2 linked regions of the Macaca fascicularis genome follow. The protein of the gene in region 2 binds, or shares a complex with, the protein of the main gene of each other region. Links are inferred from orthologs where the notes say so. Each region holds a gene or a part of one and is shown on either strand. Other genes may lie near its edges. The genes, in order: ANKS3 and ANKS6.

Region 1 (3,809 bases), on a different chromosome or scaffold from region 2:
GTCAGCGTGCTTCAGGGGGTCACGGGTTTCTGTTCATTTTTTTCACTCTTTCTTTCTGTTCCTCAAGCGAGATGATCTCAGGTGACCTGTGTTCACAAGTTTTCTGTTTCTTCTGCCTGCTCAATTCTGCTGTGAGCCCGTCTAGTGATATTTTCATTTCAGTTTACTTTTCAACTCCAGAAATCCTACTTTTGAGAGTTTATTGCTTTTAATGGAGAAACGAATGTTACTCTGCCATTTGCCTCAAGCTGTTTTCTGAAAGAAACATACTTAGGACACTACCCAGACCAGACTCCACTCAGTGTGTGTTGAAGGGACCGAGGTGTGCGCCTGTTCACTGAGCCGGGGGCTGCAGGGAGAAGCCGGCATAGCAAGGCTCTACTGAACAGCACAGCCGGTGCTTTAACAAATAACCAGCCATGCCGGGCGTGGCGGCTCATGCATGTAATCCCAGCACTTTGAGAGGCCAAGGCAGGCAGATCACAAGGTCAGGAGCCTGAGACCAGCCTGGCCAACACAGTGAAACCCCATCTCTACTAAAAATACAAAAAATTAGCCGGACATGGTGACACGTGCCTGTAATCCCAGCTACTTGGGAGGCTGAGGCAGGAGAATCACTTGAACCCGGGAGGCGGAGGTTGTAGTGAGCCGAGATCGCGCCACTGCACTCCAGCCCAATGACAGTGCGAGACTCCATCTCAAAGAAAAAAAAACAAATAACCCACCAGAGCTTCCCTCTGCCTCTCTTCTCCGTGTCTCTTCTGACTGCACAGGGTAGGAGAACTCAGCAGACACAGGTGACACAGCTGAGCTGTGAGTCACACCTGTCATCCCTAAGGTAATGCATGGTCAGAGGGACCACAGCAAGGATGAGGATGGTGGCAGCTGTAACCATCACCAAGCACACACCGTGTGTGGTCCCTGTCTCTGCTTCAGCGGCATCCCGTCAGACTCCCGCAGGCAGCTCTGAGGTCAGGTGTGTTTCTTCTCCCCAGGCTCAGGGGAGCCAGCTCCAGTATGGGAAGCAGGGAGACAGGTCCTTGGAACACAGCAGAAGCCGTGCAGCTGGGCCGTCAGCCACGGAGCCGGCCGTGAGCCTGCAGAGCCTACCAGGCCATGGGGACGCCACGGCCATTCCGTTCTCCAAGCAGCCTGGCACGTTACATACACAACACATGCCTCATAAGTCACAAAAAGTGCCGTCTCTGAGTGTAACCTCCAGTTTCACAAGCGGTCTTACCTGCGGTCCTGAGTAGGGGGCCCTCTGAGTCTGGGGGCTGGACTCAAGGGGAAAGTCTTCCCCGTCAGTCCCAGTGCGGGGAGGCCACTGGCTGTCAGGATTCTTGGTCTTCACGTAACTTTTAGCTTGTTTGCGAGCTGAGCTTTTACAGGCGTGGTCCGAGTCCTGCGGTGAGAGCCATGTATCTGAAGGAGCGCACGGACTGACTGGAGAGCCGTGGTGAACCCCCACCCGCCACACGGGCTTCCAGTGCATTCGCTGTCGTCTGAGAAGCCAGGCCCTGGACACAGCACGTCCCAGCGCGGCACACACGTGTAGCACGTGCTTGTTACGGACGTTCTCATCTTAAAGTAACGGGGATGTTAGGCATCCCAGCCAGGGACCGGCTATGGGAGAACGAGAAAGAATCCGCACCTCATTGCTCTCCACAGAAGCTTCGCTGCTGAGCCCCTGGGCTCTGGCCAGGCCCTCGCTGCTGCTGCTGCTCTGGACAGGCTCCAGGTTGGCACAGAAAGCATGTTCCTCTGAGGGCGGACAGACAGGGCGTCCGCCTGCAGGCCTCACCGCGGTGCTGTGCATGGGCGTGCCCCGGGCTGAGCCACCTCCACCAGGGCACTCCTTGGGGCCTGCCGCGGTTGCTTCCTTATGTTTCAAGCTTCCTGCCTGTTCTAAACCCTCCCCTCTATACAGACGGGCAGGGCTTGTTTTTTGTTCACTGATAAATCCCAAGCAGCCAGGGCAGGGCTTGGCGTACGGTGGGCACTATGTGAGCAGCTGCTGCACGGAGGTGCAGTTATAACAGGACATTCCTCTTGGAGCCTGTCCGGAAAGCCTCAGGGGGCTCCCAAGCAAGCAGCTAAACCTGTTGGTGTGGAGTGGCTCCCCCAGGCTGCACGGGGACGCTGGAACAGAAGCTTCTCCCATTCCTCACAAGAACCAGGGCTGCCCACGCCTCCCCTGTGCCTGTCCTCTGCTGGATGGCGGGGCTGTGTCCCAGCACCAAGCCCAGTGGATAAGTGGGGACGGGCACACAGGAGCTCCAGGACCTGCCCGAGCCGCGGGCTGGACAGGGGTGGGGGTGCACATACCCCGGCTGCTGCTGCTGCTGCTGCTCTCCACGTCCCGCTCGTTGATGGGGGAGGTGACGTCCCGGCAGCAGAGGCCCTCTTCTTCCAGGGCGTTCTCACCACTGCTGCTGAAGGTGACATAGCCCCGGGGAGGAGCCTGCTCTGTGTACAGAATAGAGCCCATAAGCCCAGGGAACTCCAAAGTGAAGCCGATCCTGGTTCCAGATGCCCCCACCGCCTCAGAGGCCAAGGCCCCGGATGGAGGCAGGCGACTTCCCGCTCATGACCTCACCTACTTGCCCCTGCGACCTGGCATGGCTCTATCTGTGGTGTGTGGGTGGAGAAGTCACTCTGAGGGTCAGTGAGTGGGCCAGACAAGTGCATGGTGGGGCCAGGGCTGACAGCCAGGTCAAGCCTGGGCCCTCTCCTTTGTACCGAGCAACCTCTTTTTCAAAGGGAAAACGTAGGAGATGGTAAGCTGTATTTACAGATGCCTGACCAGAGGAAACTACACCACTAGTGTTCCTTTTAGCAGGAGGTATCTAATGACCTCACACAGACACCCGTCAACCAGGTGTCTTTATGTCCCTATGACCTTTAACCATAGGCTCTTAGCGGGCTCCTCGGGCCAGTCAACCCCAGCGAAAAAGAGATCTGGCTGAGCAGGAAGGAAAAAGGCCTTGGGCTAAAAATTAACGGCAATAATATGATATTACCTAACTCTACCTTCCTCTAAAACCAAGCAGAAAAAGGGGCATGCGGCCGGGGGCGGTGGCTCAAGCCTGTAATCCCAGCACTTTGGGAGGCCGAGACGGGCGGATCATGAGGTCAGGAGATCGAGACCATCCTGGCTAACCCGGTGAAACCCCGTCTCTACTAAAAACTACAAAAAACTAGCTGGGTAAGGTGGCGGGCGCCTGTAGTCCCAGCTACTCAGGAGGCTGAGGGAGGAGAATGGCGTAAACCCGGGAGACAGAGCTTGCAGTGAGCTGAGATCCGGCCACTGCGCTCCAGCCTGGGCGACAGAGCGAGACTCCGTCTCAAAAATAAAAAAAAAAAGGGGGGGCATGCATACCAGGCAATTTCACTCCAGTTTTGCCCCTTTATTTATATAAAAAGACTGACTTGACCAGGCACGGTGGCACACGTCTGTAATCTCAGCTACTCAGGAAGCTGAGACAGGAGGATCGCTTGAGCTCAGGAATTGGAGCCTGCAGTGAGCTATGATCGTGCCACTGCACCGCAGCCTGGGCTACAGTGAAACCCTGTCTCAAAAAAGAACCCAAAGGACTGGTTGGTGGGACCATGGGGAACTAACTTACTTCTTTACATATTTTCCTAGTTATGGAGAAGTTTTTACAATCAGCACGTGCTATTTATCATTGCCCCCTAAACTTTTTTTGAGTCAGGGTCTTGCTCTGTTATATAGACTGGAATGCAATGGCACCATCATGGCTCACTACAGCTTTGACCTCCTGGGTTCAAACAATCCTTCCACCTCA
Region 2 (3,809 bases):
TATTCCTGGGAAGAAAATGCTAGAGTTACATTCACTGAAAGCAAAAGTATGGCTTTGCTCCTGGGCAACAAAACCAACAACATTAACTACAAGGCTCAGTCTCTGAGCATTTAAGAAGGGCATGGAAGGGCAAACAGTCTCATTCTCTCATTCCCTAGCACGTGGGCAGGTCAAGCGGGAACATGATTTAAATCAAAGTCTAAGTGTTCCTTCCAGGAACAAAATGAAAACCGAGGCTAGATGTGGTGGCTCACACTTGTAATCCCACCACTTTGGGAAGCAAAGGCGGGAGGATGGCTTGAGCCCAGGAGTTTGAGACCAGCCTGGGCAACATGGGGGGCCTTGTCTCTACCAAAAATTTTGTTTAAAAATCAGCTGGGTGTGGTGGTGCAAGCCTGTAGTCCCAGCTACTTGAGAGACTGAGGCAGGAGGATTGCTTGAGTCTGGGAGGTCAAGGCTGTAGTGAGCCATGATCACGCTACTGCACTCCGGCCTGGCAACAAAGTGAGATACTGTCGGAAACAGAAGGGAAGGGGAAGGGAAGGGGAAGGGGAAGGGGAAGGGAAAGGGAAAGGGGAAGGGGAAGAGGACCAAACCAAGGGCTCTGCCCAAAAATCACTGACCCCATGGGAGACCCCACTTCTTCCACCCTAAACCAGGACATGTCCATTGGGTAAGTCTCCTACAGACCAAGGTGTCTGAAATAAAATTTCATCTTGGAATTCAATGCTCATCGAAGAAGAAAACAAACTGCTTTCAGATGACACAGGAAAGTGATCTAATCACCTAAAAGAGGGTAAGGAAAGAACCTCTAATTGGGAATCAGATAACTTAGCAGCTACAAGATGCCCACCCCAAAGAGGAGGCCTCCAGGAGGATGACAGCCCACCCTGCTGGGATGATCACATAAGAAGGGGTTCATAAGCACCCTGTAAACACTGAAGCTTATTCAAAAGGAGAGAGGTAGGACACATCTCACCATCAATCATCACAAGATGACAATGGTATGAATCACCAATGTTTACTTCATACAGGGGCTACTTAAGGAGGTCACTATATCTCAGTGTGAAAACTCCAATGAACCAGTCATTGTGTTCAACTGAAACCAACCTAGAGAACCTTATCTCTCTGCATAAAATGCTTCTGCTGCATGGTTTTTCATGGCCACTGGTGAAATTCTGTGATGGGAGAACAGGAAATCTGGACACAGAAGGGTGGAAATAAAATGAACCTGTGCCGCTTTCATTTTTTTCTTTTCTTTTTTTTTTTTTTTTTTTTTTTTTTGCATGCCTCAATGTCGTCACAGTCCTGGGGTTTGTATGCAGCATCTCAGGACCAGAAGAGCCCACTGGAAACCCCCATCTCAGGCCAGAACATATGTCTGGCCTTGTTGCTGAGGGCGTGGAGCTGGCACTGACCCATGGTAGGTCGCCTGCATGAGGGCTGTCCAGCCATGCACGCTGTCCTGCTTGTCAACATCCGCGTGCCTCTCCACCAGTAGCTGCACCAGAGCCAGCTGCCCTGTAACAGCTGCTAGCATCAGGGGCGTCGCCCCGTCCCCATTGACCAAGTTCACGTGGCTGGGGTCTTCATCGGCAATCTCTTTGACCAGCTGGAAGTTTCCTACAAACACAAGCAAGAGTCTGGGTGATCTGTGGGCCTGGGACCATAAGCTGATTTATCCTGTGGTTCACGTAACCAACACTTGCTGGCCCTGCCTCTGCAGTGGGCTGCTGGGCACCATAGGGGATACTAAGAGGGGGTCAGAGATAGCGCTGACTCTCAAATGCCTCAGTCTAGGCGGGACAGAGACAAGCACACGAATGGGTAGAAGTGTTACTAAAAGACAGAAGTATTGTTAGTGTCTTCAGAGAACAGATGAAGGACACAGAAGGCAGAAGGAGAATTCAGGTCTTGCTGTGGGGTGAGGATCGGGAAAGGCTTCCTGGAGGAAGGGTCTATATCAAGAGAGAAAATTTTAGGCTAAATGTCTCTTTGTCACAAAGAGACTGGAATGGGTATGCAGAGAGGCATTTCAGAGGCAGGAAGAGCTGGGGCATATAGCTAGCCAGTGTTCGGCTGGAGTGGGGCTGGAGGCCCTCTGGAGTCTATGTGTAGAGCTCCATAATAAATACTGGCCTCCAGGATCTGAACTTCCAAACACCAAACACCAAAATGCCTGTTTCTTTCTCAAATAACCTGGGTGGCCCTGCAAAGGACTACAAATATTAGGTTGGGAGAATGTAGTTCTGTATTCTTAAATATCCAAAAAGATCTTCTAAAGCGCTTACCCATTTTCAATGCATGGAAAATATCAGGTCGCCTTTTCTCTTCATCTGGGTAAACAAAGATTTTAAAAGTTAACCACGGAAAGGTTTAATATAACAGAAAAGTCACAAGGGTGTAACAACACAGCCTGGCTTTAAAAAGCATCTAATTCTCAAAAGCAATCTAATTGGAGACCTACGTAATGGACAAATCCAGCAGCCCTTCTGGAAGGTCTATTACCAAAGAACATCTGAAAACACTTCAGAGACAGATCTTGCCAACAAAACACAAAAGAGCAGCAGATCACGGCCCTGATCTCATGCAAATAAAGCAATCATTTTTAGGCAAAACAAATGTTGGCATATCCTTTCCTAGATATACTGAAAAGTCTTGGGGTCTTGGAAAATCTTGGATTCCTATGGACATTGTTTAAAAAAATTTTTTTTCTTCTAAAAACTAAACATACAATCATAATTCCAAATCTGCTGCTGACATACCGAGCAGCTGAGCTCTACGGAAGTTCACAGACACAGCCAACAGAAGAGCCAATGCTCATGTTTTCTTTCCCTCCCATGTAAGAAGCAATCAGAACATGCTCCCTGCCCCAAACCTGCAGACACAGCTGCCCAAAGGCCACTGCCCAACTGGGCATCTTCATGCTGTACCCTGAAGCCCAGCTGCTAGGTTGGGGCCAGACCCCATGCCTACCTGCACAGCTGAGCCTTGCTGCAGCTGCCAGATGCTAGCCCCTCTCTCACATGCTCATCCCACACCTTCCTCCAAGCCTGGGCCAGCAGGTACCCTGCTCCTGTCAGAGGAGGCATCCTCATGGCCAGTCTGCTTGCTAGGGGGCTGAAGGCAGGCCTTCTGCAGTCTTTAACTGATCCCAGGGGACGGAGCAGCTGCCAGAGGGAACTTGTGAATCTGGGCTGACTCTGGTCCAGATAAGCCCTCTTGAGCAGCTGGGAGGAAGCTGCAGCCCGGGGCAAGGAGCACTGAGTGTGGAGTCAGTGCATAAGAATTTCAGTGCGCATTTTTAGAGTAAGCTGCCTCTTCATCACAAATGTGGGGATAACATCCCTTTCATCTGGCTGTTGCAGGGATCAAATGATAATGTTAAAGCCCCATTCAAAGAACAATTATTTCTTTACTAGCAACCAGCAAGGTGGACCCCAGAATTCTTTTTATGAGATGGAGTCTCACTCTGCTGCCCAGGCTGGAGTGCAGTGGTGTGATCTCGGCTCACTGCAACCTCTGCCTCCTGGGTTCAAGTGATTCTTGTGCCTCAGCCTCCCGAGTAGCTGGGATTACAGGCACATGCCACCACACCTGGCTAATGTTTGTAAGAGACAGTGTTTCGCCATGTTGGCCAGGCTGGTCTTTAACTCCTGACCTTGAGTGATCTGCCCGCCTTGGCCTCCCAAACTGTTGGGATTGCAGGCGTGAGCCACCGCTCCAGGCCAGAACCCCAGAATTCCTTTTTTTTTTTTTTTTTTTTTTGAGACAGAGTCTTGCCCTGTCTCCCAGGTTAGAGGGCAGTG

The links.
Region 1: the proteins of ANKS6 (region 2) and ANKS3 are in contact, whole or in part, in a crystal structure (PDB 4NL9), measured with the Homo sapiens proteins. The link is inferred for Macaca fascicularis from reciprocal best matches to the Homo sapiens genes ANKS6 and ANKS3. Residues at the interface, in NP_775822.3 of Homo sapiens: Glu796, Gln797, Glu798, Val799, Asp800, Glu802, Ala803, Thr806, Leu807, Asp811, Glu814, Leu815; in NP_597707.1 of Homo sapiens: Lys441, Tyr442, Thr470, Leu471, Phe472, Gly473, Pro474, Arg476, Lys477, Arg484.

Annotation. Positions count from the first base shown.
Region 1 is NC_088394.1:5,514,445-5,518,253, forward strand, and holds part of ANKS3 (ankyrin repeat and SAM domain-containing protein 3), read right to left. Parts: intron 2,470-3,809; coding exon 2,329-2,469; intron 1,765-2,328; coding exon 1,655-1,764; intron 1,406-1,654; coding exon 1,241-1,405; intron 87-1,240; exon of another isoform or gene 1-86. UniProt on the Homo sapiens protein: May be involved in vasopressin signaling in the kidney.
Region 2 is NC_088389.1:59,343,340-59,347,148, reverse strand, and holds part of ANKS6 (ankyrin repeat and SAM domain-containing protein 6), read right to left. Parts: intron 2,337-3,809; coding exon 2,292-2,336; intron 1,624-2,291; coding exon 1,419-1,623; intron 6-1,418; coding exon 1-5.